Diceros bicornis minor: one gene and its partners. The protein of the gene in region 2 purifies or fractionates together with the protein of the main gene of each other region. This does not show direct contact. Links are inferred from orthologs where the notes say so. Each region holds a gene or a part of one and is shown on either strand. Other genes may lie near its edges.

What was found.
Region 1: the proteins of NAPA (region 2) and STX5 purify together in Homo sapiens (affinity purification with mass spectrometry; 3 studies listed by BioGRID and IntAct, with this or other methods). This does not show direct contact. The link is inferred for Diceros bicornis minor from reciprocal best matches to the Homo sapiens genes NAPA and STX5.
Region 3: the proteins of NAPA (region 2) and VPS45 purify together in Homo sapiens (affinity purification with mass spectrometry; 3 studies listed by BioGRID and IntAct, with this or other methods). This does not show direct contact. The link is inferred for Diceros bicornis minor from reciprocal best matches to the Homo sapiens genes NAPA and VPS45.
Region 4: the proteins of NAPA (region 2) and VTI1A purify together in Homo sapiens (affinity purification with mass spectrometry; 3 studies listed by BioGRID and IntAct, with this or other methods). This does not show direct contact. The link is inferred for Diceros bicornis minor from reciprocal best matches to the Homo sapiens genes NAPA and VTI1A.

Annotation. Positions count from the first base shown.
Region 1 is NC_080770.1:10,319,077-10,326,907, forward strand, and holds the start of STX5 (syntaxin-5), read left to right. Parts: upstream 1-4,831; 5' UTR 4,832-4,942; intron 4,943-5,624; 5' UTR 5,625-5,643; coding exon 5,644-5,868; intron 5,869-6,895; coding exon 6,896-6,966; intron 6,967-7,131; coding exon 7,132-7,187; intron 7,188-7,305; coding exon 7,306-7,376; intron 7,377-7,831. Other genes in the region: WDR74 (WD repeat-containing protein 74), read left to right, coding at 1,065-1,140, 1,270-1,416, 1,554-1,655, 2,528-2,628, 2,716-2,771, 3,121-3,266, 3,351-3,407, 3,731-3,910; TEX54 (testis-expressed protein 54), read left to right, coding at 4,111-4,183, 4,299-4,498. UniProt on the Homo sapiens protein: Mediates endoplasmic reticulum to Golgi transport.
Region 2 is NC_080773.1:22,906,886-22,913,764, reverse strand, and holds the start of NAPA (alpha-soluble NSF attachment protein), read left to right. Parts: upstream 1-3,873; 5' UTR 3,874-4,002; coding exon 4,003-4,100; intron 4,101-6,879. UniProt on the Homo sapiens protein: Required for vesicular transport between the endoplasmic reticulum and the Golgi apparatus. Together with GNA12 promotes CDH5 localization to plasma membrane.
Region 3 is NC_080743.1:54,580,134-54,587,281, forward strand, and holds the start of VPS45 (vacuolar protein sorting-associated protein 45), read left to right. Parts: upstream 1-4,146; 5' UTR 4,147-4,209; coding exon 4,210-4,302; intron 4,303-4,950; coding exon 4,951-5,085; intron 5,086-7,148. UniProt on the Homo sapiens protein: May play a role in vesicle-mediated protein trafficking from the Golgi stack through the trans-Golgi network.
Region 4 is NC_080745.1:76,031,940-76,039,924, forward strand, and holds the start of VTI1A (vesicle transport through interaction with t-SNAREs homolog 1A), read left to right. Parts: upstream 1-4,968; 5' UTR 4,969-5,342; coding exon 5,343-5,436; intron 5,437-7,985. Other genes in the region: palmitoyltransferase ZDHHC6, read right to left, coding at 1,046-1,137, 2,989-3,255. UniProt on the Homo sapiens protein: V-SNARE that mediates vesicle transport pathways through interactions with t-SNAREs on the target membrane. These interactions are proposed to mediate aspects of the specificity of vesicle trafficking and to promote fusion of the lipid bilayers.

The DNA of each region.
Region 1 (7,831 bases), on a different chromosome or scaffold from region 2:
TGAGAGATTTGCACTTTTGTTTTATAGGTGGTGGGTCGTTATTGGATTTTGAGTGGGAAGTGCTGTGGTCAGAGGTGTGAGCCTGTAGGATTGTGGAGGATGGATTGAGAGAGAGCAGTGGGTGACTTGCCACAGCCCAGGCAAGCAATACCAAGGCTGAACCAAGGTGGGGAGGGTCGGCAGATGTGAGAAGGAGCATAGGCTCAGGCATACCCATCCCGGGGAGAGACTTGCTTGGGCTCAAGGGAGAGGTACTTTGAGGGAGAGATTGACATTTAGTATCTGGAACCCAGAATAGGGAACTCGAGAGAAGAAGCTGGTATTTAACTTGGGCCAGAGCCTAAATCCAGACCAGTCCCATTTCAGTCCTTTCAGAGCTACTGATCCTGACCTGTCATGACCAACTCAAGATTCAGAAAGACTGGCAGCAGGCCGGCCCAGTGGCGCAGCAGTTAAGTTCGCACACTCCGCTTTGGCGGCCTGGGGTTCGCAGGTTGGGATCCCAGGTGTGCACCGACGCACCGCTTGTCAAGCCATGCTGTGGCGGCATCCCATATAAAGTAGAGGAAGATGGGCACGGATGTTAGGCCAGGGCCAGTCTTCCTCAGCAAAAAAGAGGAGGATTAGCATCAGATGTTAGCTCAGGGCTAATCTTCCTCACAAAAAAAGAAAAAAAAAAGACCAGCAGGGCCAGGGCCACCAGATGTAGCTGTGAAATAGCAAAGGCACTCTGCTCTTCAATATCACATACTTGATTTCCAGCCCTGGTTCTGGCATTTATAGCTGAGTGGGCAAATTTTTTAATTTCTCAGAGCTTCAGTTTCCTCACTTATAAAACTGGTAAACCATCACCCTGTTGAGGAAGTTACATGAGATAACAGACAGAGAACGTGGGAGCTGTCAAGCCCTGTCCAGACCATGTCACCTAGAGTCTTCCTTAGGAACAAGGCCAGTAGGAGGGAGTCTAGTTAATATGAATTTGGGGGTGGGTCGACTGGAGCCAAGAGAACACTTAAAAATTTTTTTTTTTTTTTTTTACCTAATTCTATCCTCTCTGCCTGCAGCACCGTCATCACATGTGTGGATTCTGGTATTCTTCGAGTCTGGCATGACAATGACAAAGAGGCATCCTCTGACCCAGTGAGGCTCCCCTGCCCTGATCCTGATGGTTGGGGAAGGCAGGGGGGACCAGGGTCGGAGCCAAATGAGGGCTTTGGGGGAGGAGGATTAAGGACTCTGGAACTGACTCTCATCTTCCATTCTTTTCAGCTCCTGGAACTGAGAGTGGGCCCTGGGGTGTGTAGGATGCGCCAAGACCCAGCACACCCCCACGTGGTTGCCACAGGTGGGAAGGAGAATGCTTTGAAGGTGTGGGACCTACAGGGGTCTGAGGAGCCTGTGTTCAGGGCCAAGAACGTGAGTGATGGGGTTAGGGAGTGGGCTGAGGCCACTGACTATGAGTCAGAAACCAAGTGGGCTTTAGGGCATGGTAATGGAGGGCTGAAGGAAGGGGCACACTGAGCACCCCACAACTCTGCCCCCATCTACCCCAGGTACGGAATGACTGGCTCGACCTGCGGGTTCCCATCTGGGACCAGGACATACAGTTCCTCCCTGCGTCACAGAAGCTTGTCACCTGCACAGGGTACCACCAGGTGAGGCACTATCCCATCCCTATCTCCTCCTGGGCTTATGCAGCCTCCTAGAGAAATAGCCTCCCTGTGCAGGTTCAGCCCCCGTCGTTTGGCACAGCCACCCTTCTCACCATCCTTCTTCCATCCCTGACCTCTCAGAGGAGGGAGCACTCCCCTGTCCATTCCAGCCCTGTGGCTGAGCCAGTGACCTTCTCGTATACTGCATTCTAAGATGGAGTTTCCTGAACTATGACTGTTCCCTTTCCTCCCACCTGGAAGAGGGGAGAGAAGAAGGGAGTGTTCTCTTCACAGTAGAAGCACACAGTGCAGGTGTCATGAGAGGACATTGGAATGGATGTCAAGAGAACCGTTTTTGTCCTGATGTAGCTTCTGATTTGCTTTGGGACCCAGGCCTGATGCTCTCCTCTCTGGTCTCAGCTTCTCAACTTCACAGGAAGGGCCCAACTGGGGATCTTTACAGTTGGTCTCATTTGAAGTCCTAAGACCCAGGCAGGACAGGGTCACTTTTTTGCCCTGTTGAGGCTTAACTTCTCTCCTTGAAATTCAGCACCCTCTGAAAATAGGCCTGACTTGCATTTTCATCGCAAGATGGGAGTATGGGGGGAATGGAATGCTCACACATGCAGATGATGGGAATGCTGCCACCTCCCAACCTAGGGAACCTCTCCCCTCAGCCCTGTCCATTCATGCCCCTAAGCAGCTCTCCCCCAACCACAGCACTCTGAGAAGAGGGGTACATTTCAAATGAGAAAGTTTCTCTAAGTGGGTCATAACAAGAAAGCAGTGTCTGAAGGAGGGGGCGAAGATGTGGAGAAGCCAGAGTAGGCTATGTGGGGTGAGGGTACTCTTGTGATGCCTCAGTCTTCCTCCAGGTCCGTGTCTATGATCCAGCTTCCCCCCAGCGCCGACCAGTCCTGGAAGCCACCTATGGAGAGTACCCACTGACAGCCATGACCCTCACTCCTGGGGGCAAGTGAGTGTTTAGAGGGTGAAGAGTGGGGCTCAGGAAGGACTCCAGGAAGCTCCTGCTGACCCCACCTGCCTCTGCTCTCCTCCTCAGTTCGGTGATCGTGGGGAACACTCATGGACAGCTGGCAGAAATTGACCTTCGGCAAGGTGAGTGGACTAGGGAGCCTTGGGGGAGGGGAAAGGGTGGGAGGAAGGAAAGGATTCCCTCTGAGGGGGTGCAGTGGAGCGGTTGAGGTCTCATTCAGGTGCAGATTGCCTGGGTTCAAATCTTGGCTTCACCAAAAGATGTATGACCTTGGACAAATTACTTCATCTCCCTGTGCCTTAGTAGTTCCTTCACCCATAAAATGAGATATAAATGGAGATACTAATGGTAACTCCTATCTCAGCATTATGTTGAGGATTAAATATTGAAACATAAAGTGATTGAACAGTAAACACTCAATAAATGGTTGTTGGCTGGTCAGCTAGCGGTGATATCTCCCCTCTTCTCCAGGGCGCCTAGTGGGCTGTCTGAAGGGGCTGGCGGGCAGTGTCCGAGGGTTGCAGTGCCACCCCTCAAAGCCCCTACTTGCCTCCTGTGGCTTGGACAGAGTGTTGAGAGTACACAGGATCCGGAACCCACGGGGCCTGGAGCATAAGGTGAGAGCCTGCTGCTTCCTGTTCCCTCCTTTCATGTTTCTATTTCAGCATGCTTGGCTCCTTAAGGCCCCACATCTTTTGCAGGTTTATCTCAAGTCTCAACTGAACTGCCTCCTCCTGTCAGGCAGGGATAACTGGGAGGTAAGCAGTTCGGTCTGAGAATGTGGGGCCCAAGGGCATAGATGTGAGAATTTCCTTGTGGAGAGAAAAAGGAAGCAGCTGGAACACAGACCTGGAACTGTCCATCTACCTGCTGAGTTACTTAATTTCTCTGAGGGGTGTTAATAGTTATAGTCCTGACAGGGTTACTGCCAAGGGTGACAAAGGAGCATGGATGGGAATGGTTTCCGGGAGCAGGAAATAAAAGGGGTGGTACCTGGAGAGATGATTTCCCAGCTAGAGCCTCCTTCCCTGTGAGTCTCTTACTGTGCCCCTGACTCCTAAGCTTTTCTCCCACTCACCAGGATGAGCCCCAAGAGCCTCAAGAACCCAACAAGGTGCCCCCAGAAGACACAGAGACAGATGAACTTTGGGCCTCCTTGGAGGCAGCTGCCAAGCGGAAGCTCCCTGATTTGGAGCAGACCCAAAGGGCACTCCAAACCAGACGGAGAAAGAAGAAGCGGCGTGGGTCCACTAGCCCCTGAAGGGCCTGTGCTCACTTTGTAAATAAAAAGCTCAACACCACTATGACCCTGAGCCTTTTGTGACGGGAGGAAGGAAGGAGGGGTGGCCGCTCCCAGACCTGCGGCTGCGGGATATCTGACGTCACAAAGCCGGGCGGGAGTCACGAAGGCTGGCGTGGGTGGCACGTAGTGTGGGGCCGCTGGAGGGGCCGTGCGGGGCCATGGGCTGTTGCCAAGACAAGGACTCGTACACCTCCGATGAGCAGGCCAAGGAATCTGTGGAATTGGAGGAAGGTTGGATGAGGGAAGGGCCCAGAAAGTGGGAAAGGGGGCTGTGCCAACAGGACTGCCCAGGAGGTTCGACGGGGGGCGGGTAGAGCAGAACTTAGCGGCCTCGTCATACCCGCAGGCAGCGAAAGGGTCGATGTGCACTCGCCGGACCACCACCGGAATCGCAAGTCTAACGAAAGCCTTCTGATCACTGTGGTGTGGCGGCGGCTATCCATGTTCAGCCGTCGGGGCTCTATGCCGTCAAACAAGAGGATAACCCAGAATCAAAAGCATGGGTGTGCGGTCCAGGAGATCCAGGAGGAGCCGGAGAAGGGGTGACCCCAGCCTTGCTCTCAGTCCGCCCCAGCTTCCAGAGAATAAAGTTTCTAACGTGTACCTGCCAGAGCCCTAGTGCCCCGCTACCGACTCGGGGCGCACTGGTCGCGTGCACCGCTGGGGCTGCGGGCTCTTTAAGGCTCCTCCCCGGAGGCTGGCCCAGCCCCCGGGCCCCCGGCTCTGGTTCCTTGGGGGCGGGGTCACGGGGGGGCTAGCCAATGGGAGGGCGGGGTCGCTCTTGTATTTGGGTGGAGGGCGTGTCCCTCGGGTCGCCGGCCTCGAATAGGCGTGGCAGCGCCCTCTCGTCACCGGGGGAGGGGCTACGTCTGGGTGACGTGGCGGCTTCCTGTCTTCGGTCTGGTTTCCGCGGCTTCGGCTCCCGGGGAGGAGGCGGTGACGTCCCGGGAGATCGTGGCAGTGGCGGCGGCGGCAGGCGGCAGAGAGGAGGTAGGACTGGCTCTGAGAGGGGTCTGGCCGCCGTGTCAGCTCCGGGCAGCGGCTTTCTGGGGGCGGCGACAGACGGGGGGAAGGGAACCAGGGCCAAGCGAGCAAGTCCTGCCGGCCCGGCTCGGGGTGAGCGAACACTTCGCCGTCCAATCAGGAAAGGCCCTCTTGAGAAAGACGTCGGCATTAGCTAATCAGCGGCTGCAGTCCTCTAGAAGGCGGGACTTGGGCGGGGGTGGGACTTCCTGTTTCAAATAAACACCTAGAGGTTCCCCCCTCCGCCCACCGAAGTGTGTGCCCCTCAGAAGGTCCGTCACCGTTTCTACCTGAGGAGTCGAAGGAACCCGTGGATACGTGAGGGCCCAGTTAGGGCCTGGGGCAGTTGCACAGGCCGGCCTGGAGCTTCGGGGCCACGGGACCTGGCTCTGGCTCCGCTTCAGGACCCCAGCCTGCGCTCTGGCAGCCAGAGCCGAGTTAGAAGAGTCGAGGAGGGGGACGGCTGAGGCCGGAGAGGAAGCGGGGCCCTGCCCGCTGCGGGCCGGCCCCAGGATCTGCGGGTGGCTTTGGGCGCGAAAGTCCGTGCCAAGAGAGAAAGGGCCCGAGGATTTGCTGGTTGGGGGGTGTGGGGGGGTAATTTGTGGGGAAGGAGGCTGCGTGGGGAATGACACTCTCCCCTCCACAACAGTCCGAGGTTATGCGTCTCAATGATCCCGCGGAAACGCTACGGGTCTAAGAACACGGATCAGGGTGTCTACCTGGGTCTCTCAAAGACACAGGTCCTGTCCCCTGCAACTGCTGGCAGTAGCAGCAGCGACATCGCCCCTCTGCCCCCCCCAGTGGCCCTGGCCCCTCCCCCTCCCGACACCATGTCCTGCCGAGATCGGACCCAGGAGTTCCTGTCCGCCTGCAAGTCCCTGCAGAGCCGTCAGGTAAGGACCTGGAGTGGGGAAGGCAGGAGTGAGCCTTACTCAAATCTGGGAGAGGCTGTGCTCCAGCACTGTTGATCGAAGTCATTCTTGGGGGAACCTGATGGAAAACTGATCAGCCTTGGAGGAGGCGGTAGGATCTGCTAAGCAACAGAGAAGAGGTGGGCTAGCTATCTAGAGGCAGGATCTAGACTGTTTTGGGGAGGAATCCCCCGGAGGCTAGGGTTGCTATTCTGGAAGGAATAGCCCAGGGTGAGAGGTGGCTGCAATGTACTTGGTTTGGATAAGGAACAGGTTCTAGAAAGAGCCTTTAGCTCACAGACATGCACCTTGAATTCTAGTTCTCTTGAATATAGTTCTACCACAAGTTTTCTGTGTGACCACAGGGAAGTTAGCGTAGTTGGGCCTCAGTTTTTATATCTGTAAAATGAAGTCCTCTAGATAAGTAGTTTTTATCAAAATCATTTTGGAGTGCTTTTTAAAAAATTAGATTCCCTTGTCTCAGTCCAGACTTTCTGAATCTAAGTGGGACCTGAGTGACCATTTTTAAGTACTTTTACTGATCAGCTCTTGTTAACAACTGCTGTTCTATATGATCTCCAAGAGCTTTCCAGTTATCCTGATTCAAGGGGTAGAATGGTAATACTAGCTACCATTTATTTAGTGCTTACAACGTACCAGTATTTGGCTAAAATGCTTTACAGCCCTTATGTCATTTACTCTTAGCAACAACAACAGGAAGCATGTGGATTGTCTTCATTTTACAGAAAAGGAAATAGAGAGTGGTTTAAGTAACTTAAATAGTTTAAGTAGAATGATTTAACAGAATGGTTTAAGTAACTTGCCCCAAATCCCCCAGCTGGTGAATGGTGAAGTCAAGATTTGAACTGGGGTTTACCTGTCTAGACTGTCTGGTGGAGGACACCACTAGTACTAGAGAGAGAGTTTAGTGGACACCTTAGGAACGGTGAGGAACAGCTGGAAATGGAGAGGGGGGACTAAAGTCTCACCACTTGACATTGCTTTTCAGAATGGAATCCAGACAAACAAGCCAGCTCTGCATGCTGTCCGGCAGCGCAGTGAATTCACCCTCATGGCCAAGTGAGTTGAGAGAAGTTATGTGCTGGGGTGATACAGTGTCTGAGAAGCAGGCTTGCCTGTGGTGGCCTTGGCTGTGAGGGCGGGGATTGGTGGTGCTGGAGCTAGTGTGGGAATAGGCCCTCTCCTGCCCTTTCCCACAGTGTTCTCACACATGCTCATTTGCAGGCGCATTGGGAAAGACCTCAGCAACACATTTGCCAAGCTGGAGAAGCTGACAATCTGTAAGTGTTCTTGGGGTCTTTCAGAGATGGGCCAGTGAACCAAAGAGGGCTGAGGAACTGTATACCCTAAGCCTTGTCTTTGACGTCACCTGTTGTGGCTTTCTGTTTGTCTCTGCAGTGGCAAAGCGCAAGTCCCTCTTTGATGATAAAGCAGTGGAAATCGAGGAGCTAACTTATATCATCAAACAGGTGAGCTGCTAGCTATTGGGAGAGCCCAGTGTTCCAGTCAAATTGCTTCCATCATTTTCCATTGCCATGGAGGCCCAGAGCAAGTTTCTAGAGCCAGCCCCAAACATCCTGCTCATCCATTGAGTTAGTAGACACTTATTGATTATCTACTGTATACAAAGCAGTGTGCTGGGCACTTGCCTCACAAACATGAAGCAAGATTCCTGTCTTCAAGGGCTTATTATCTAGAAGAGGTATGTAGCCCCATAAATTCATATTTATGAGTAGGAGGCAAGTAGTACAGAAAAGATCTTATAAAAAGATGAATGAGGGGCCGGCCCTGTGGTGTAGCGCTTAAGTGCTCGAGCTCCGGGGCTGGTGGCCTGGGTTCAGATCCAGGGCGCGCATACTTGTCAGGCCATGCTGTGGCAGTGTCCCACATAAAGTGGAGGGTGATGGGCACAGATGTTAGCTCA
Region 2 (6,879 bases):
GAGGAGGGAGATGGCCACAGCTACCCTAGACATTCAAGATTTGCCTCCACAGGGCTGGCCCAGTGGCATAGTGGTTAAGTTCGCACGCTCCGCTTCGGCAGCCTGGGGTTCACAGGTTCGGATCCCAGGCGCAGACCTATGCACCGCTCATCAAGCCATGCTGTGGCGGTGCCCCGTATACAAAGTAGAGGAAGATGGGCACAGATGTTAGCTCAGGGACCATCCTCCTCAAGCAAAAAGAGGAGGATTGGCAACGGATGTTAGCTCAGGACCAATCTTCCCCACCAAAAAAATAAATAAAAATAAAAAGAGGAACCCTGATGAAATAAAAATATTAAAAAAAAAGATTTGTCTTCAGGACTAGGAAAAAGCCATGTGCTCCCTCAAGTTTGATGCCACCTGGTCAAAACTGTCATTCCGTTTGCCAGGAAGAGAAGAGGAGGCAGGAATGGCTCCTGGGGAGGCAGACCTTGTGACTGCCACAACGTGATGTGAAGAAAGTAAAGCAGGGCGCCGAGTCCCAGGGAGTGAGCAGAGAGTGGCAGCTGGTGTTAGGTGGACGGCCAGGGAAGGAGATCTGGGTTCCAGGCCACGGCACGGCACAGTGCCAGCTCTGCCGAGGGGACTAGCAGAGGGTGTTAGAGAACTGGCTGGCTGCTGTGTGGAGGTTGTAGGAGGCAAGATTACTGGCCTGGAGGGTAGATAGAAGGCTTTAAGGTAAGGTGCTGGTGGCCTGGGGTAGCAATGAAGAGGGACGGAAATGCGAGGATGAGAGATGCATCTTAGAAGCAGACTCGGACTTGTTGACGGGTCACACGTCACGGGGAGAGGTGGTAAGGAAAAGGACGGGTCAAGGTTGGCCTGGTAGATTTGGGTCTGAGCCGCTGAGTAGATGCCATCACCTCAGGTGGGGAAGAGAGACAGTCAGAGGATTGGTTGCACCCAGGTGTGACCGCGTCTGTAATAGTGCATGCTGTGTTCTGACAGACTGGCGGGGGAGCGGGGAGAGGGTAGTGTCAGGAGCTTTCACAGAGGGGCCACACTTAGCTCAGTAAATCTTGAAGATCGGGAGGGGGGAGGGGCAGGGGAGGAAGCAGAGTTTGAAGCAGTTGGGGCATTGCGGTTAAGAGAAAGGGCTCAGGCATCAGATGAACCAGAATTTACATTCTGGTGCCTCTTCCTTCTTTGTGACCTTGGGCAAGTCACTTTCCCTGTTTGAGCTTCAGTTTTCTCCTTCTGTAAAATGGGGTGGAAAATGCTCACCCCCCACGTATCTGTGGAATGAGAAAACGTAAATTACGTGTTTGGCAGGGTGCACCATATGAATGTAGCAGCTACTGTGTGATGAGCGCTCATGCTATCGCTGTTATTGTTTAGGTCCCACCCTGCATAACAGGTTAAGCTTGATGACTCTGGAAAGGAAAGACTCTGGCTTAAAGGGTTCAGCGGTATATTAGTTTATTGCCGCATAACAAATTACCCTGAAATTTAACAGCTTAAAACAAACAGAAGCTTTTATAATAGTGCTGCTTAGAGGGACACGGAACTGAAACTGCTTGTGGTGATCCAGACTCACCCCCAACCTGATCTGTGGTCGGAATACAGTGGCAACCACAAGTGGGTGGTCCAGGAGAGTCTCTGAATGTAAGAAGAGAGTTGGGGGAAGGTTTCTTGTGAATTACCCCCCCTCAGCCCGCCCCCGCTCCCATCCCCAGATACAGCGTTTTCTCAACTGGTGTTCCCGGAATTATCTGCATCCTAGTCATCTGGGGGTCCTGTTAAAAAAAGCTCATATACCATACCCAGTCCCTGACACGGACTATTATAATCAGAATCATTGAGGGTAGGGCCCTAGAACTGGAAGTTTTTTAAAGAAGCTTTCTTAGAATAGTTTTCAGATTTACAGAAAAATTGGGAAGATGATAGAATTCCCATATACCCTGCACCCAGTTTCCCCTACTATTAACATCTTACATTAGTATGGTACATTTGTTACAACTAATGAACCAATATTGATACATTATTATTAACTAAAGTCCATGTTTTATTAACATTTCCTTAGTTTTTACCTAATGCCCCTCTTCTGTTCCAGGATCCCACCTAGGACACCATATTACATTTGGTAGTGATGTCTCCTTAGGCTCCTCTTGGCTGTGACAGTTCCTCAGACTTTACCTGTTTTGGATGACTTTTAAGGAGTCCTGGTCAGATATCTTGAAGAATGTGTCTCGTGTGGGATTTGTCTGATATTTTTCCCATGATTAAGCTGGGAGGAAGACCGCAGAGGTGAAGTGCCCTTTTCACCACATGTTGTTGAGGGTTCACACTATCAACGTGACTCACCACGCTGACATTATCCTCAGTCAAGGGCTGACAGTGTTCATCAGGTTTCTTCACCGTAAACTTGGTCCCCACCCCCCTCCCTTCCCATACTGTACTGGGTGGAAGGAAATCACTGTGCACAGGCCACACTTAGCACACATGAAGAGCTATGCTCCACCTTTTTTGTGTGTGTGTGAGGAAGATCAGCCCTGAGCTAACATCCATGCCAATCCTCCTCTTTTTCTTGAGGAAGACCTGCCCTGAGCAACATCTATTGCCAATCCTCCTCCTTTTTCTCCCCAAGGCCCCAGTAGATAGTTGTACGTCATAGTTGCACATCCTTCTAGTTGCTGTATGTGGGACGCGGCCTCAGCATGGCTGGAGAAGCGGTGCGTAGGTGCGCACCCGGGATCCGAACCCCGGGCTGCCAGTAGCAGAGCACGCGCACTTAACCGCTAAGCCACGGGGCGGGGCAGGCCCAGCTCCACCTTCTTGAAGGTGTATTTACATAAACTATTTGGAATTCTTCTGCACAGAATATTTGTGTATTCTCTCTCATTTATTTATTCATTTATATCAGCATGGGCTCATGGGTATTTTATACACTGGGTTATAATCCAATACTACTTTATTTTGTTGGTCAAATTGTTCCAGCTTTGGCCATTGGGAGCTCTTTCAGTTGGCTCCTGTGTCTCTCTGACATACCTCGTCGTGTGTGTGTGAGAGTGAGAGAGCGCTCACACGCGACGCTTTCTTTCTGGCGCTACAAGATGCTCCAGGCTCATCTTGTGTAATTTCCTGCCCAGTCCTAGAACCAGCCATTTATCCAAGGAGCCCTGGTTCCTTTTATTGGAGAAGGGTATTAAAAACTAAGATGTGGGCACTAGGCATGCTCAAACCTGAATTTTTAACAGGCTCTCTCCAGCTATTTTTTCATGAAACCACAGTTGGAGAACCTCCGCTCTCCGTTTTGTTCCCGTCTCTCAAGTATTTCACTGGCTTTCCCAAGCCAGTTTCAGCCTCCGCCGGCAGAGGGCGCCAGAAAAGGCAGAACGGTTTCCTTCCTACCACAGAGGCCTTCCCAAGAGAAGAAGGACGCGCGACCAGGAGCCGGGGCGGGGACTAAACGCTGCGCCAGAGAACTGTCAAACCCAGGCGGGGCGTGTTTCCCGGCAGGGGCCGGGCACTGTCACGTGAGGGCCAGCGGTCAGCTGACTAGATCCCAAGTTCTCCGCAGAGGTACGACGCGACCCAGGGCTGCTGTTGATTGGTGGAGGAGGATCCAGAAAACTAGCACTTCGGGGCGGGACCTTGACGATGGGGACTACCATTGGCTTATGCAGAGCCACGTGGGCAGTCGTACGCTGCACCGGGAAGAGAGTGGGGCGCCCTATGCGGACGTGTGCGCATGCGTCAAAGCCCGGGGTCGCCGATTGGAGGCCGTGAGTCACGGGGCGGCGTGCAGTGGCCGGTGGGGGCGGGGCCGGCGGGGCGCGCGCCGAGCTGCGAGGCCGCTGGTTGGCCAGCGCGAGCCACGTGGTCCGGGGCAGCTGGGGGTGCGCGGCGGTGCGACGTCAACGCAGCCCTGTGAGCTCCCCCGACCCGTCTCTGCGACCCGGCGACGGCGGAGTCCTCGGAGGGCCGTGCCCGGGCGGGTTGCTGAGCACTCCTGCGGCCGCCATGGACAACTCCGGGAAGGAGGCGGAGGCGATGGCGCTGCTGGCCGAGGCGGAGCGCAAAGTGAAGAACTCGCAGTCCTTCTTCTCGGGCCTCTTCGGGTGAGAGCCGCGCGGAGGGGCGGCCGGGAGCGAGGCTGAGAGGACGAAGGAGTCGTGGCCTAGAGGCGGCCGGGTCGGGACGAGGGCATGCCGGGGCCTGGTGACAGGGTCTAAGGCCGCGGAGGGGACGCAGGCTGAGGGCCGGGCTGTGGCGACACGGTGTGAGGAGAGACGGTCTGGGATGGCGGAAGGGCCTTGGGCTGAGGATACCCGGGCCGAGGCGACACCATCTTGGGACGGAAAGGGGACCCAGGCTGAAGACGGGCCAAGGGGCCAGAGGACTGTGAGGCCTGGGCGGGGACCCGGCCTGAGGGCTTGAGGGAGCCTAGGGGAGCAGCCGGGTCGCCTTTGGAGCTCTGGAGAGCCTGTCTGAAGGGTCCCAGACGGCCGTGGTGGGGCCGGGGACTGGGGACACCTGCCCCAGGGATCGGCCTTCCCAAGGCCTGGGGCGGGGGGTTTGGGTGAACTCGGGGTGGTTGGGTGAGGGGATCCTGGGGGGTGGGAGGTGCCCGGGACGAGTGGGGCCCTGGGTGGTGGTGATGGTGTAAGAGGACCTGACAGTCGTGTGAGAGCTGAGCAGAAGAATGAATCCCCCGGGGTGACGGAGTTACTACCGAGGAGGCCCGGGCTACGGGGCTGGAGACTGATGTGGAGTAGGGGGATGAGTGAAGCCGGCTTGGTTTAGGAAATGGAGAGAGAAAGAGGAGAGATGAGGGAGAGGGAAAGCCAAAGGAGTGGAAAGCTTTTTGTGTAAGGATGGAGTAGGGATGGGGCGTGTGCGCGGGATGACTGGTGTGCTGAGAGGGGGGCCTGAGCGGGGCTGGGAGACAGAACGAGCGCCTGCAGTCTGGTAGACATTTCCCATCAGACTCACATTAGCCTGTAAACTAGTTCTGATGACCGTCCTCCGAGGAATTTTAGTGGCTTAGGAGTGTCAGAAGCCTGGGTTTGAAGTGTGGCTCTGTCACTGACTTCATGCCCTTGGGTAAGTTGTTTGATTTCCCTGTTAAAGGGGATCACTAGTAAAACCTATGTCAGGTATTTGCTGCTAGTATTGAGTAAGAGTGCACATAAAGCGCTTAGAACTGAGCCTGGCACATGGTTAACGCCCTGAGAGTCTTAGCTGTCATCAGCGTCGCTTCCAGGAAGGCAGCGGGTGTGGAGCCTGTACGCTTCTGGTGGGGATCAGGGTGGGAGCCCAGGGGGATGTCTGAGAGGGGTCAGAGGAGGGAGAGACTGAGTGGGAGGAGGAAGGGGGAGCTGACAGGTTGTGGGAAAGGGACTCTGGGCCATGGGGACTTAGCAGAGTTGGGGGAAGGGGCTTGAGGCTCGGGGCGGAGGGAGAAGAGGGGAAGAAGGGAGGACTGGAGGGGGTTGTGTTGCTTTGGGGCTGGGAGGAGAACTGGAGAGGGAGTGGTGGGTCTGTAGAGAGTTAGGAAGAACTGTGGTGGAGGTGGGCAGGGAGTCTGGCGACAGAGAGAGGCAGAGACTGGGGAAGGCTGCGGCCTGGGAGAATCTGCCAGAAGGCTAGGGAAGGGGTCTGGGAGGAGGGCCTGAGGATACGGAGAGACAGTGTTAGGAGATTGGTGAGAAATGAAGAAGGTTCTTTCCAGGAGAGGAGACGGAGCAGCCTGTTATTTGATGTTGGATGATGTTTAGCAAAAGAACTTGAATAACAAGGCTGAGAGTTATCTGGTCTGGAGAGGCATCCGGGGCTCATGGATTGTATTGATTAGGTGGGGAGTGTTTTATTTTAGAGGCTGAGAGTGGAGAGAGGGTATGTGTGTGTTTCCTCTTCCCTCACAAGGGGAGAAGTTCAAGTGCAGTGTTTTGGGGTGGGGCCGAGAGCTCAGTTTTCCGTGATAGTTTCCCTGGGTGGTTTTTGGTGTCGGGTCCCTTTGGACTGGGAATTAGTGTCCTGTTGGTCAGTGGCTGGAGGGAGCAGCTAAGTCAGCCCGCGAGACACATGCCATCTGGTTGGGAAGGCAAGAGTAACACTTGCCAAACGCTAGTAAAGCAAAATTGTAAGGTAACTAAGGCTTAGATTATATCATGTGTGTGAAGTTCCTGAGTTGAGAGGAAGCGGCCTGAACTGGAGGAAGGCTCTTAGGAGCGAGCTGGGCCCCGAGGAACCCTAAAACTAGCAAGTCCTAGTCCTGTGGAGTGGGGGCCTGGGAGAGAGTGCTCGGCAGCGGGAATTGTGCGAACAGAGGTGTAGCGTGAGGGGAGGTTCTACCCGGAATGATGGGGAACCGAGATCCAGATGGACCAGGGATGGCTCCCCAGAGGAGAGGCCTCCATCTGGGAGCATGAACAGGGGTTCTGGGGGTGCCCTCTGGTGGGGAGCGCTTCTCTGGGCAGAAGGGCCAGCTTGAGCAAGGCCCAGATGCATGAAGCTCAGTGTGTGCACGCTTCACACGGGGAGTTCCGTGTCAGCACGTAGTTAGAACAGGCAGAAGGAGGAGGTGACGCTGAACAGGGATGAGGCCCAGTCTCGAGAAAGGGCTTGCACGTGAGGAGGTGGTAGAGAGCATTGAGGATATTAATGGGGATCTGTCTTAGTCTGTTCAGGCAGCTATAACAAAATACCGTAGACTGGGTGGCTTATAAACAACAGAAGTTTATTTGTCACAGTTTTGGAGGCTGGGACGTGCAAGGTCATGCTGCCGGGTAGATTTGGTGTCTGGTGAGAGCCCACTTCCTCATAGATAGCTGGCTTTTCACTGTGTCCTTGCTTTGTGGAAGAGGTGAACTAGCTCTCTGGGGTCTCTTTTCGTAA
Region 3 (7,148 bases), on a different chromosome or scaffold from region 2:
ATATTTATTAATTACAAGGAAACAAATAGTAATTTTACAGTGAAGAAACCAACAGACACCACCTAAACCAAGTGATCAAAGTTAACATCACCACCAAAAAGGTGGAATCACTGAAATTACTGAATGTGCAGATAGAACCCTCCATGCAATTTTTTTTTTTTTTTTTTTTTTTGCTAAGGAAGATTTGCCCTTAGCTAACATCTATTGCCAATCCTCCTCTTTTTTTGCTTGAGGAAGATTAGCCCTGAGCTAACATCTGTGCCAATATTCCTCCACTTTATATGTGGGTCGCTGCCACAGCATGGCTGACGAGTGGTGTAGGTCTGCACCCAGGATCCAAACCTGAACCCATGAACCTGGGCCACCAGAGCAGAGCGTGCTGAACTTAACCACTATGCCACAGGGTGACCCTGCAAATAATTTTCACTTAGTGATGTAAAGCTTGTCAGTGCTTTTGCTACCACAAAATTCAGTACTAAACCACCAACTATGACAAAAATCTAACAAATTCTGTTTGATTTGAGGCTGGTAGACACTAAGCCTCTGAAATCACTTGAAGCATAATTTTCCTAAGTTTTGTCTTTGTGAAAATTGTATGCTTTACAAATTATGATGGAGCAGGCCAAATCTTCCCATTAATATTTCTATTATTGTATAGTAATGCAAGATAAAGTTATTATGGAAACTATATTGGAAGCTATAGTTTACAAATACTGAAATTGATTCTATTTTTAAATTTTCTTATCAAAGGGGATTAAATACATCATAAGCAAAAAATATGCTAAAAGGCCTGTCTACTTTTTGATTTCAAATAATTAAAGCTGATATTTATTGAACATTTAATATGTGCCAGGCACATTTTTTTCTGCATTATTTCATTTAATTCTCACAGGTTCATAAGGCAGATTATATTATCACCATTTATCAGATGAGGAAATGGTTAGAGAGGTTAAGAACATGGCACAAGGACTGGTTGTCTGACACTAGCAATACTGCATTCTTTCTCCAAATATTTTTTCAATTGCTAACAAGTAGGAAATCTAATTAATTTGAGTTTCATTGAATTCCATCTTTACTTTCGTTCTGTCCAGGGTTTGTTGGGCAAATTTTAACACATAGCATCAAGGAGAACAGTAGACAATTAAAAATCTAAGATAACTAAGAGTTGGCCATATTGTTATTATAATTATATGGAAGCTTATTTATACAGTCTTTGTTTTATATCAAGCTTTGCGTTCTTATGGAGGAAAAACAGGATTTTGATTAAATATAAAATGGGTAGTTAAACCTCTAAATAGGACATACTTTGTAGGAAGCTAAAGCATATGTATTTATTCAGGTAATCATTACTGATTATTTCATTTATATACATATTTACAAGTCTTAACAAAATGGACAAATGTAAATACTATATTATTTTAACTTCCTGTTTTCTATCCTAAAAGCAGATTTCTTAGACCTAGTGAAAATAAATTTTTCAAGTAACTTAATCAGAAAATTTTATAATTGATGTAATCATTCATATTTGAAGAATGTCATGATCTACTTTTTAAATTTGAAGTCTTTATTATTGAAAATATTCTTGTTATTACAGTTTATTTACACCCTAAATAAAAAAAAATAGGTAAGGTACTTCATTTGGCTTCTGAATTTGCTGTATCTTGCCTACAACAAAACAAGTCACTCTGAGTTTATCATGGATGAGTCACAAAGCAAGAGTTTGGACTTTATCATTAGTTTCAGTCCTATTTTTAGAGGTATGGGGATAGAAAGAAGTTCTTAATCTGGAGACATTTTAAATGGCTTTTGTAGTTTTCTTCAGAAAGGAAATAGGCTGTCAAATTTCCAGACCATCACAGCATACTTTAAATATATAATAACTATTTTGTACAAAATGTTTACATACCACATCTTATCAATGTATATGCCACTGACATCAATGGAATTTCACAGGCAATGGAACATATTAGTAAGCCTTGTCAAAACAGGCATTTTCCTCCTCCTTTAAACTGTTATAATTGTCCAAGTATAAATAATCAAAAGGATGCAGTTTCTTTCCATGTATTACTTACAGATTGACTACTGTCTAAAAAAGCACAAATTTCAAGGACAAGCTTTTCTCTCCTTGTTCTTTCTAAAAAATACATAAAATGGAAAACAATCTTATACTAAAGTCCAGGGGCCAGCCCAGTGGCATAGTGGTTAAGCTCGCTCAGCTGCTGGCTACCCGGTTTGGATCCCAGGGGCACACCGAGGCACCACTTGTCAGGCCATGCTGTGGCAGCGTCCCACCTAAAGTGGAGGAAGATGGGCACGGATGTTAGCTTAGGGCCAGTCTTCCTCGGGAAAAAGAGGAGGATTGGCATGGATGTTAGCTCAGGGCTGATCTTTCTCACAAAAAAAAAAAAAAAAAAGTCCAAATTATAGGTAAGAAAACAAAAACTAAGCGACACAGGAGAGTGGAGGTGAATTTTCAAATATTGGTATCTTACAAGATTTGCAGGTGTTTCATTTTTCATTAGCATTGGTTTGTTTTCTGTAATATATGAACATTTTAAATTGATAAGAATAGAATTTTTATATAACATTAGATTTTTCTCATTTGAATCCATTTAAAGATTCTCATTTTCATTCCACCATAACTTTTCTTTGAACACATATCTCAAAAATAGAAAAAATGCCCAATGGGAAGTTTTATTTACTTGGAAGTAAAACTGAAAAAGAGAGAAAATAATTTTCACAATTTCAAAGATGATAAAAATCTATATTTCAAGTGGTTTCTGACCTCCCTTAAAGAATGTGAAAATTGTATATAACGTTTTATAAAGTAATCTTAAGAGCCAGATGAATGTTAGCGTGCTCTGGGTCTAGTTTTAATCATATGCTTCTTACAATATAATGAAAGAATGATTGATTTGGTAATGTTGAACTTACTGATTAAACTGACCCCAACAAACACTGGTCATTATTTTGGTGGAAATATTTACAAGCAATTACAGTCACTGAATTCTTGCAGTTGTTTCTTGTTACGTTCCTGATTTTACAATTCCCCATAGTAAAGGTGCGAAAACTATTTACCCTCCTTTTCGAGAAAGAGCCTGATGGAAAGACCTGCGGGGTATAAACACAAATACAGACATTTAGAAGTTGATGGCTTTAAGATTCATTTTGTTGCTAAGTTTTTGTCCTTTCTTAAATCAAGATTTGTGCATTTTCCCTTAAAATCCCCACGCTACTTTGCCTTGGCCCCACCGGATACGTGCTCCCTACCCACTTCAGACCCTGTTGACTCGGCTCCTGCCCGCAGTTCCAGCGTCGCAGGTCCCCAGCGCCCGCGCTAGTTGGAGCCCGCGGTGTCCGATCGCCCAGGACGCCGAACCCGGGTCGCTTGGGGCTGCGCGGGACCCGCGCGCTGCGAGTCTCGGCGGCCGATCCCAGCTCCAGGCCCTCCTGGGGATCTGAGGCCTCTCCCAAAACATCTCTAAAGGGCGTTCGTTCCCTTTGTTCAGTCATTCAACAAATATCTGTTCAATTTCCCATGCCCCCCCCGTCCTCGGAAAACCAACTCCGGCCTCACTTCGCAAGGGCACTATCCTCGCCTTGTCAAGGACCCAAAGAGGCCGAGGAAAACGAATCTCCGCCGCTACTTAGCAGACACCGCGTGTGATTCACCAACAGCCGTCCCTCCGAGTCTCGAGTGTCCGGGGGCATTACGCCACCTCTCTTCCCTTCATCCTTCACTGCCCGAGAAAGCGTTAATGGCAAAGAGTGACCACGGCCACGCTCTGTGGTTCTTGCCTCGGAGCCAGCCTTACGCCAAGTTCCTCCACACCGCGAGCCGCCACGCTCTCCCCAAGCCAGCAGCTTGGGGAGAGCTTCAGGCCCCAGCCGGGGCATCCCGGACCAAGGGCCGGGAGCGGTCTGAGAGTCCGGGCCTCCAACACCTCCAGGCTGGAGGTGGGTAGAGAATCGCGTCTGGGTGTGGCGGCCCAGGGTGTCTCAGCCGGACTTTGCCATCCCGCCCAGAGGCATGGTCCCCCGGCACGCGCAGCGGAACTACAACTCCCAGCACCGCGGCCGCCCGGACTTCCGGAAGCCAAAGCCGGGCGGGGAGGAAGCGGCTGAGACCGGGCTAAAAGACCGGGGGTTAATGTAACCAGAGGGGAGCGGGTGGGAAGGGCTATAGGGTTAAGCTGTCAATTCGCCACCATGAATGTGGTTTTTGCTGTGAAGCAGTACATTTCCAAAATGATAGAGGACAGCGGACCGGGTATGAAAGTACTTCTCATGGATAAAGAGACGGTGAGTTTGCTTTTGCTCAGTTCTTGTTTGTGAGGGAACCCACCCTCCCTTACAATAGCTGGTCCCATTCCACTGTAGGATTTAGTAATTCATTAAAGAGCTTTTTAATGAGGGTCAGTTCTGTGTGGAACTGAAAGGTTGTATGAAACTTGCCCAGTAGGTTTTCAGCCTAAATGGTTCTGACTACTACCAGAGATTTCTTCTTCTACCCGGAACGATTTATTGAAATCAGAAATCCTTTTCTAAATGTCCCTGCCAAGAAATAATATGTGAGAGAGCACATAGAAGACTTTGGGATGGTCCTATTATTTCCACTCAGCGTTGTGTTTTCAAAGTACAGCTGTTGGGGCTCAAGCTGAGATGATAGGTTATTATTTGTTGGTCACAGAATTTGGAAAAAAAAACTCTTTAAGATGGTGGAAAAAATTTGGGGAGAAATTTATGGATTGTCCGTGTTCAGAGAAAGCATGTTTTTCATTCTGGTACGTTACCTACATGTTTCGGATGCTAAGTAAGTGTTATTACATATGTTAGTGTTTAAGTTATCCAGCTAAGTAGTAATGAAAATTTTTTTTAAGTCATAAGTATTGCTGCTTGTTTTTATTATTCTAGACTAGCATAAGATTAGTTAATTCTTTTTCTTTACAGACTGGCATAGTGAGTATGGTATACACACAATCGGAGATTCTTCAGAAGGAAGTATACCTTTTTGAACGCATTGATTCTCAAAATCGAGAAATCATGAAACACCTGAAAGCAATTTGTTTTCTTCGACCTACGAAGGTACTACATAAACTGAGCTGCCATCTGCCCAGGCAAATACAGAACACTATGATCTGAAAGCATTAAGGGAAAATAAATGTGTATTATCATCATTTGTGGCATCATAATTATCCTCGTTTATCAGAGTTATGACCTTGACTCTCCTCCTTTCCACATTTCAGTTCACTCCTTACAGCCAGTTTTTCCTTCAAGATATCTTTTAGGTTCTCAGCTACTTCCAAAGCCGCTAACTACCCTAACAGAGACCCACGTCACTTCATTCCTGGATTAACCTCCATACCTATCACACTGAACACCATTGCCGATTAGTCTTATATACTTGCATACTTATATCAGTGTTGTAAGTCTTTATCATTTTATTCACATCTATGTTCAGGAACCTATAATGGCTCAATTTTACTTGTATTACTAAATCTATATTTAGTAGCCCAGCCCTCAAAACCCTCCTTTAGCAGGTCTGGTCTGCCCTTATGTATCCAACCTCCTATGTCGTACCTCTGCTGCTCAACTACAGCCAACTAGACCTTTTTATCATCCCTCCACGTGCTCATTTCTGTCCTCTGTTTGTTCTCTTCCCCTAATTACAAGTTCTTTAGCCTTCTGTCAGTTTCATCCATCATCTAAATATAGCCTGAGTCCTCCTTTAAAACTCCTTTATTATTTCAAACTTATTTTGCATATTCTCTTGCCTTATAGTCTTGTTCTTCAACTCCAATGTACTCTTAAAAATTTATTTATTTATTATTTATTTTTTCCCCCAAAGCCCCAGCAGATAGTTGTATGTCATAGTTGCACATCCTTCTAGTTGCTGTATGTGGGACGCGGCCTCAGCATGGCCAGGGAAGCGGTGCGTCGGTGCGCGCCCGGGATCCGAACCCGGGCCACCAGCAGCGGAGCTCACGCACTTAACCGCTAAGCCACGGGGCCGGCCCAATGTACTCTTTTACCATGCTTGTACATTATATACTTTCCAAAATATAAATCTGATCGTGTCACCCCCGCTTGAAATCCTTGAATGAATTCTCATTGCTTTTGTAATGAAGACAAAACTCCTTAATTGTGGCCTGCAAGGCCTTGTATGGTCTAGTTCTTGCCATTTCTACAGCCTCATTTCAAACCATTCCCTTTTGCTTTTAGCTACACTAATCTTTCAGTCCACTGTATTAAATCATGCCACAGGGCCTTTGCACAGGCTCTTCTCTCTGCCTGGAACTTCTTCACTTCCTCAAGCAAATCTTCACTGGCCTTGCTGGCCAGGTCAAACTCCCCTCTTATAAGCACTTACAGCACCATCTTCCTCTCCCTATTGTTTGTCAAGGTTGAAGTTTTATATGGTTTGTGTGATTAATTAGTATCTGTCTCACCTACCAGCAGTAAGCTCCATGAGAGCAGAGATGGTGTCTTCTTTTTCACACTCTTATGTCCCTAGTGCCTGCCATATAATGGATACTCAATAAATAGTTCGTGAATTAATGAATACATTAATTAATAATATAGTAGTTTCCAATTGTTTCACATTTGTAGCTCTTAGTCATGAAATTTTGGTTCTGAGAGCGATCTTAGAGATCATCTAGTCCATCATTTCCTAACACTTTATTAGCCAACCTCTTTACAGCTATATATATATATAATCTCTCAAACTCAAAATGTGTTCTTAAAAACAATTTTTCCTTAAGATTATATTATGAAGTTAATTTTTAATGTATTTTTTAATCTAAATGACAATTTTTAAAACTTTTTTCTCATTTAACAAGCAATGTGTATTGCTTATATTACTTTTAATTCTGTAAGGAAATGTATGATTTTTTTAAACATTAAAAAATGATATATCATGTATAGTTTGGGGACCAAATTTATATTGAAATTTAATCATGTGTTATAGATCAAAAATAGATAAAACTTGCATTATGATCTTATGCAAGTGGAATTCTTGCCAGCCCTGGTGGTCTGGTGGTTAAGATTTGGTGCTCTCACTGCCCCGGCCTGGGTTTGTTTCCCAATCAGCGAACCACACGAACCATACCACCGCCCATCTGTCAGTTGTCATACTGTGGCCAAATAGT
Region 4 (7,985 bases), on a different chromosome or scaffold from region 2:
GACTGAAGTGGAGTACAACAGAGACTCAACAAAATCACTTATAAATCTCCACTGGGGTTGATGGGGCCTAGCAGACGCTTGTAACTTCCTTCCTGTTCTCATCCTTTAGATGTGGAATCTGTGAGCTAAGCAAGCTAACTCCAGAATAGAAGATGTGGTACAATAAGCAAAGTCTTAAGGGTTCCCCTAAACCTCAACATTTTCAACATAAATTTCTTATTAATCAGTGGATATAGCTGTTCATTAAAAAAGGTTCTAGCTTGGAGCCGAACCGGTGGCGTAGTGGTTAAGTTTGTGCACTCTGCTTCGGCGGCCTGGGGTTCGCATGTTTGGATCCCGTGTGTGGACCTACCCACTGCTTATAAAGCCATGCTGTGGCAGGCATCCCACATATAAAATAGAGGAAGATGGGCAGAGATGTTGGCTCAGGGTCAATCTTCCTCAGCAAAAAGAGGAGGAATGGCAACAGATGTTACCTCAGGGCCAATCTTCCTCACCAAAAAAAAAAAAAGGTTCTAGTTTATTTCACATTTTTTATAGTGATTCAGTTTTCTTCCCATTAAGTTTTTTACATTAAACACTTGTGATAATAGGCACCTGGATTCATTTATTAGATTTGTATAAAGTGTAGGTGTCAGTCAACTAAATAACAGAAAAAGCAGGTCTGTTTTATAATTTAGACTCAGAACAACTCTAAAGCTAGTCAAGATGACAGTTGACAAGCACAATTAATTCTGATCTATAGAAACAACTTGAAGGTATAACTTTTTAACTTGTTCTTGGCAGGGCAAGAAGCAAAGTAAATCTGTATTTTTCTAGAAGAATCTTTTCACTTATAACAAAAAAGAGTGAGATTTATTTATTATCAGAATTGATAATTGAAGAGTAAAATGGAGATTATGGACACAAGTATTCTGACAATATTTTTTATAAACTAGCCACCTTGCAGAGAATAAAACTAGGATTGATGTGGTAGAAGGAACAACATCAAAAGACCAGTAATCAAGTGGATCAGTCGCCAATGAATAGCAAAGACAGACAGTACCTGTTACACTTCCTGCAGTGATGTGACCGTGGTGCCTTGTACGCTTGGCAGACTTTACAATACTGGAGGTACATGCTATCTTGAGAATTTTCCTTGGCAGCAAAATATAAACAAAAATACATCAGATATCTGACCCTAAGTAATAATAAGTCAAACCTTAGGAATAAATACTTTCCTATGGTTTGATTTTCTTTTATGGGGATGGGGAGGATGGAACCTTAACTTGTATCTGCAGCTGTTTTATTTGAGCTAAAATATTTTTAAATAATGAATTTCTGGTAACAGCAGCATCACTTTTCCAATTACCCAGAAGTCATTTTTAATTTCTCTTCTCCATGCTCCATCCAAATCCAGTGTCACTGAGTATACATACTTGGTTCTACTAAGATCCAAAATCTCAGTAGAATGGGAGGAGTTCAGAAAAAAAGGTAGCTGACAACTTGGCAGGTATTTTAGAGTGGGACTCAAACACCAGAGTTGATACTCTTTTGGAAATCAGGCCCCTCCCTTGGACCACTTTAACTACTTCCTAACTAGTTTCCTTTACTGTAGCCTCTCTAATCCAAAGCGTCTATTGTCAGAATAACATTCCTATAACACAACTCTGATTGCGTCAGAGCTGTGCTTGAAAACCTCTAATAACTCCCTATGGTCTAATTTCTCATGTATTTGAGGCCTTCCATAATCCGCCTTTGTTTCAGCCTTATCTTTACTATATAATCTCTTTTCCAGCCAAACTAGGCTGTCCATTGTTTCTGAATCCATGCTACCACCATTCTCTCAACCTGAAATGCCCTCTTCCCCATCTCCTGTGGATAATTTCCGCTCCTCCCTCAGGTCTCCAGCTGAAAACGATCAGTTCTTCTAAATTCAACAGCATCCATCACATTCTACTCGATAGTTATCTGCACAAGTGCCTTGGTTTGTCTTCTCACTTATAAGGTTCTTCAGAACATGAACTGCATTTTACCCACCTCTGTACCCACTTCAAATAGCACACTAGTGTTCCTCCAACTGTAATGTACCTAACAATCACCTGGTGATTTTTTTAAACACAGATTCTGATTCAGTAGTTCTGGAGTGGAGCCCAAGATTCTGCATTTCTGACAAACTACCAGGTGATATCCCTCAGCAAAGAATATGAAAATTCATATGCATAAACTTTCTAACAATTTTTAAAAAGCCATAAATTGATTGATACTATCAATCGAGTGATAGTATACTTCCCAATATTATGATTTCACCACAATGATTTAAAAACTTTATGACTTAAACCAGCAGTTTCTAAAGTGTTTTTCTCAGTTTTGAGGGATGTTAATGTATTACATGAAAAAAGATCCTGGAGTTAAACCACACTGTGATATTATGAAAAGTGTATGATATGCAGTGTTTCCTAGAAACTTAAGAACATGGACTCACCACCCTCCCTCCTTTTGTTTTTTTTTTTTTTGTGAGGAGGACCGGCCCTGAGCTAACATCCAATGCCAATCCTCCTCTTTTTTTTTTTTTTTTGCTAAGGAAGACTGGCCCTGGGCTAACATCCATGCCTATCTTCCTCTACTTTATATGGGATGCCGCCACAGCATGGCTTAAAAAGCGGTGTGTTGGTGCGCACCCAGGATTCGAACCGGCGAACCCTGGGCCACCGCAGTAGAGCGCGCACACTTAACTGCTTGCGCCACCAGGCTGGCTCCCTCTTTTTTTTTTTTTAAATGCAGAAGTATTCAATGAAATTACTTGGGGAAACCCTAATTTAGATCAATATCTTCAAACTGGTATGAAATAAATTCTTTGAGCTTTAAATAATGTGATTAGAATAATATGCTTAGTCTCTACCAAGGCAAAGAGCAGGCTGTGTTTGATATTATTGGTTAGCAGATAAGGCAAAAACTAAATATATGATTATCATTAGAGTTCATCACATTAAGGAATCTTTTTCTTACCGGTTTCCACCCCAGAGGGACAAAGCCAGGGCCAACAAACATGGCATTGAAGTAATTATAAAGAATCATGACAGTCCAATTTATCAACATGATGAAATTCACGCTTCCTCCAGTTGTATGTAAGGGCCAATACCACAACACAGAGTCAATCATGGCCATCGTAGAACATATTGCTATAACACTAAGGGCTATGATGGGTCCCCAGTGACACAGTCTCTTTAATTCTTGGAGATTTTCAAACTTCACAACTGAGCAGAATGTACCCATTTTGGTGAGGAAGAACGCCTTCCTATTTTTAAAGAATTATAGATTTCCTTTTTCTGTGCACACATTTCCATGTGCCACAAGTCCATGTGTGTTCTTTAACTGTCATGCCTTCAAGTTGTGAAACGGCAATGCAGATTATGCCATTTGTACTGTTACACACTCAGAGCTCTTTATCTTAAAGAGGAGAATCCAGTATCTTGGTTTGAAACCCAATCTAAAGAAAACAAAATAAGAAAGTTTAGTAAAACCTTTTATTATATACTATATTTATCAACTCCAATAATCACCTACACTAAAGCATCTTACAAATGCACTACTACGGGATGAGTATCTTAAATGTCAAAAAGAATGTTTTTCAGGCTGGCCCAGTGGCCCAGCGGTTATGTGCGAGTGCTCCCCTGCTGCAGCCGGGTTCGGATCCCAGGCAAGCACTGACCCACGGATGGTCAAGCCATGCTGTGGCGGGGTCCCATATAAAGTAGAGGAAGATGGGCACAGATGTTAGCCCAGGGCCAGTCTTCCTCAGCAAAAAGAAGAGGCTTGGCAACAGATATTAGCTCAGGGCTAATCTTCCTCATAAGAAAAAAAGAACGTTTTCATCTTATCCAAAATAGGGTTCAAGTCTGAATGGCATGTAAACTGGATACATGATTCTAAAATATACTTTTTATTCCTTTGTTCCCAACTTGTCAGAGGACTGTGACTACCCAACGTTTAATGAATGGTTTGAGGAGACAAAGTTTTAGAGCTGGGAAGGAGGCCTTAGAGTTCATCTAATCCAGCTTCCTTCTTCATGGAAAAGAAATTGGCCGGGAGGAGCTAAGTGATTAGACCAAGGTCACTAGCAACAGCAGACCTCAGAATAGAAACCAAGTCATCGAGCTCCCTTTACAGAGTTCTAAACTGCCTCTTACCTATCTCGAATTAAGTCAAGTACGATCCAGACATGGTCTATACCATTTGCCTGCGCTTGCCTCCAAAACACCATCATAAGGGTCTATTTGGGCCAAGGGTACAGAAGCGGGAGAGTGAAAGCAAAGACAGTGCGAGGAGAGGAGGGAGGGAGAGAGGTGTGTGTGAAATCACGACTGCAGGCGTATACGAGAACGACCACGAATGAGAACATTGGAGAAAAAAAGAAGAGGAAGTGCCTCTCGGAGCGAACGCCGGCAAAACCTGTAGAAGGGTCTTCCTAACTAGACTGGGGTGAGTCAGAGAACAAGGTCTGAGGTAGAGGATAATAAAAACGTCCTAGCAACAGATGCCCACTGCCTTGTGCCTCAGTTTCCCGCTCGTGCCGTGGAGCAGAGCGCTCGGATCCTCACTCAGGAGAACATGTGGGTGTTGGTCTCAACATCTGGAGAGTCTGGCCTCACTCGGGTCGGCCGAAGACCGCCAAAATCATGGTCACATCCCCCGCCTCGACTCCCACCTCAGACTGGTCATTGGTGCCCGCGCCTCTGCCACCGCATTTCCGGCGGCCTGGGCTCACCCAGAACAGGTTTTCTCTTCCTCGGATAACTCCGTCATGGGTACCCCAGTCCAGCGCAAGCAGAGAGCAAATCCTGGTTGCGAGAGGCTGGAGCGCGGGCCGCCCACGACCGGTCGGTCTCCGCCAGCGCCCTCGCCGCTGCTCTCCCGCGCAGGCCCGGTGCGCAATCTCCGTGACAGCCACTTCCGGGAAGTTCTCCACATCAAACGTCCCGCGGGAAGCAAGCTCTTGTGACTTGTATCTTGAGGAGCCGGAGCCGCTTTCCAGAACTTAAAGGAGCAAAAAATTGTTTCCAGTGATCCCTGAGAACACGCATATTTTCGGAGGCCTTTTGGGGCCCTAATCGAAGTGCTTTTTCTTAACGAATTTCTTAATCGTGAAGCCTGAGCGGAAATTAAAAAGCGCACGGCAGCCCGATTTCCAGAGGACCGAGATTGTGACGAACAACCAGGAAGCGGCCGGGCCGGGAGCTGTCGCCGGTTCTGCGTTCTGCTCTCGAGGGTGCCCCCCGGGGTCCCTCCACGGTGTTCTCCTGTCCCGCCTGGCCCCTGCCACGACCTAGGCTCCGGCCCGGGCCGATCACTCCGGAGCCACCATGTCGTCTGACTTCGAAGGCTACGAGCAGGACTTCGCGGTGCTAACTGCCGAGATCACCGGCAAGATTGCGAGGGTCCCCCGACTCCCTCCTGGTGAGCCCTGGCCCTGCCGGGGGTGTGGGGGTGGCCCGGAGAGAGCGGAGGCTCGGGGGCGGTGGAACGCCGCCTGAACAAGTGTCTCTGAGGCGCGAGGCGGGAGTGGAGCCCGGGGGCGGTGCTGGAGCCCTTCCGGAGGGATGGAGCTTACTTAGTTGAGGCCAAAGGGAGAGTCCTTTGGGGTGCAGTGAGTGAAAAGAGTCTTCGGAATCTGAGCCATCTGGGCTCGAATCCGGACTCCAGCGCCTTGTTACCTGTATAACCTTGGGAACGTTTCTCTAAGTCTCAGTTTTCGTTTGTAAAATATACAGATGTGAGTATTCAAAGAGAATGAATGAACGTACCTAGACCATGAGTCTGCAGTATACAGCAATGTTGTTTTATTAGTAATAATATTATTTTATGCGGCAAAATAGGGTTAAGAGCCACGGTGTCTGGATTCAAATCCCAGCTCTGCCACTTAGGAGTTATGGCGCTTAGGCAAGTTTCTTAACCTCTTTCAACTTTCCTTCTTGGTAAAATGGGGAGAATTGTACGTCTCTCATAGGGTTGTTGTGAAGATTAAATGATTTAACACATGGAAAACCCTTTCTTGGTGTTAGCTGCTGTTATCATTAGTATTTTTCATACCCTCAACCCCATTTATTATTTCTCATCCTTCTTGGCAATCTGTAGGCCAATTTTATGTAAAACTTGGTACAGTTTTTCTCACTTTTAAAATTCCACAACTGCCATCTAGAAGTGCTTTTATTTTTGTATTTTAGCACGGCTTACGTCCCATGCTAGACTGCCAACTATGTGAAGGTAGGATTGACTTAACTCTTGGCATTTACTTAGAGCCCAGAAAAATGTTTAAGTAAATAAACAGATGAATATAAATATGATATTTTGTGATTTTTGTTTGTAAGACATCGTTTGAGGATTTATCTTTCTCTAAATACAGATTTAATTTAAGTAGTTAGTTGCAGATAAGATTGTTACTTTTTGGCTTAGTTTTGTTAGGGAAATTGGAACATCATGGGACTGCTAGACTTGGCCTTACCTGCCTCTAGAGTGTAACATGTAGAAAAGAGGATGCTCATTGATCTGTGAACTGGTGGGCAACTTCTTTCCCACCTTGTTGGTCAGTCCTTGATGCCAGCAATAATTTCTCCTGAACCAGGTTGTCATTCCTCTTTGCCTTTCCCTACTTCCCTCAAAACTTATGTGTTTATAAATAATTGTCTTCCTTTATTTCTTTGTTTTTCTTTCCCCCCCCCACGTATTTTCTATTAATAGGGATATTTGCTTGAAGCCAGGATCTCTGAACTTACACCCCACTCATCTCCTGAAGTCCCAGTTAGTTCTGGAGGAGGTGGATCTTGTCTTAAGGAGGTTTATGAGTCCAAGTGAGGGAACAAGAGGAGAGGACGAAGGTAGCATATACCACCGAGCTCTGCTGCCTCAGAGATTTTTGTGGAGAAAGTGGCTGATGGCCTCATCACTTCATGATACATCACCTCGCCTCTTCTCTTCAGTTCTGCTTCTCTCCACTGCCCAAGATCATCTTGATTTTTGTTGTCATTGTTGTTGGAGACTACTTCCTTTGACTTGAGTCCCAGAGCCTCAGAATATCAGGACTTAATGGTTTCAGTTGGATTTTTGCTCAATTTTAATTGTAATAGTGTTAACAGTGAAACATTTTTTGTTTGGGCTAATAGCTTTTGTAGTCTGAGGGTGTTTTATAAAGTAACAGAGTCATCCCTGGGTGCAAAGTTGTAAAAACTATTTCCAAGAAAACAAATTTTGTTACAATTGCTTTTTCCTTGCCTTTATATTTTAATGTAACCATTCTTACCACGTAGAAGGAAACCTTTGAATTAAGTACCTTAAAAATAAAGTCTTGACTCTTCTTAAGTACATATAATGTAAGGCCCAAACATAGCAGCTACATTAGAGTTGAAAGGAGACTGTATAGCTGGCACTGGAAAAATGCTTACTGTCTTGACATAGTAATTCTTAAACATGCAGTGGTTTCTCTCTTAATAATTACTTGTGCTTGTTCCCTTTTAATCTGTTTCTAATTGATAAATATAAAAAGGTGAAAAATATATCCATGTAGTTATGAATTTCAGTTGTATGTTATGTGGACTAACGAATTAATGTGTACAACCATGGCAAAAACAGTCTGATTAAAAGTAATTATAATCTCTCTCTCTGGACATCATTAGTGGTTGACCCAGTGGAGGTAACTGTAATTTTATTGAGTTAAGAAGGTTAAAAATTGGAGCGAACTTTTAAGTCATAGCAGTTCACTGCACAACTTATTAACTTATTTAAATTGAAGTAGGGGGGGTAGGATTGATTGCAATTCACTTCAATCTCTGCTGTGCGTGTACAATGTATTAGATTGTTACTTCCAAAGAGAGTAGAAAAGATTGAATATTTTAAAACTTTATTTTAAAAAAGAAATTTGATTACTCTGTGATATGTTTAAACAATAAAAAGACTCTGCTCTTAGACTAAAGTGTTTGAATCTTAATTAATTTTGGTAATTGGACTAATGA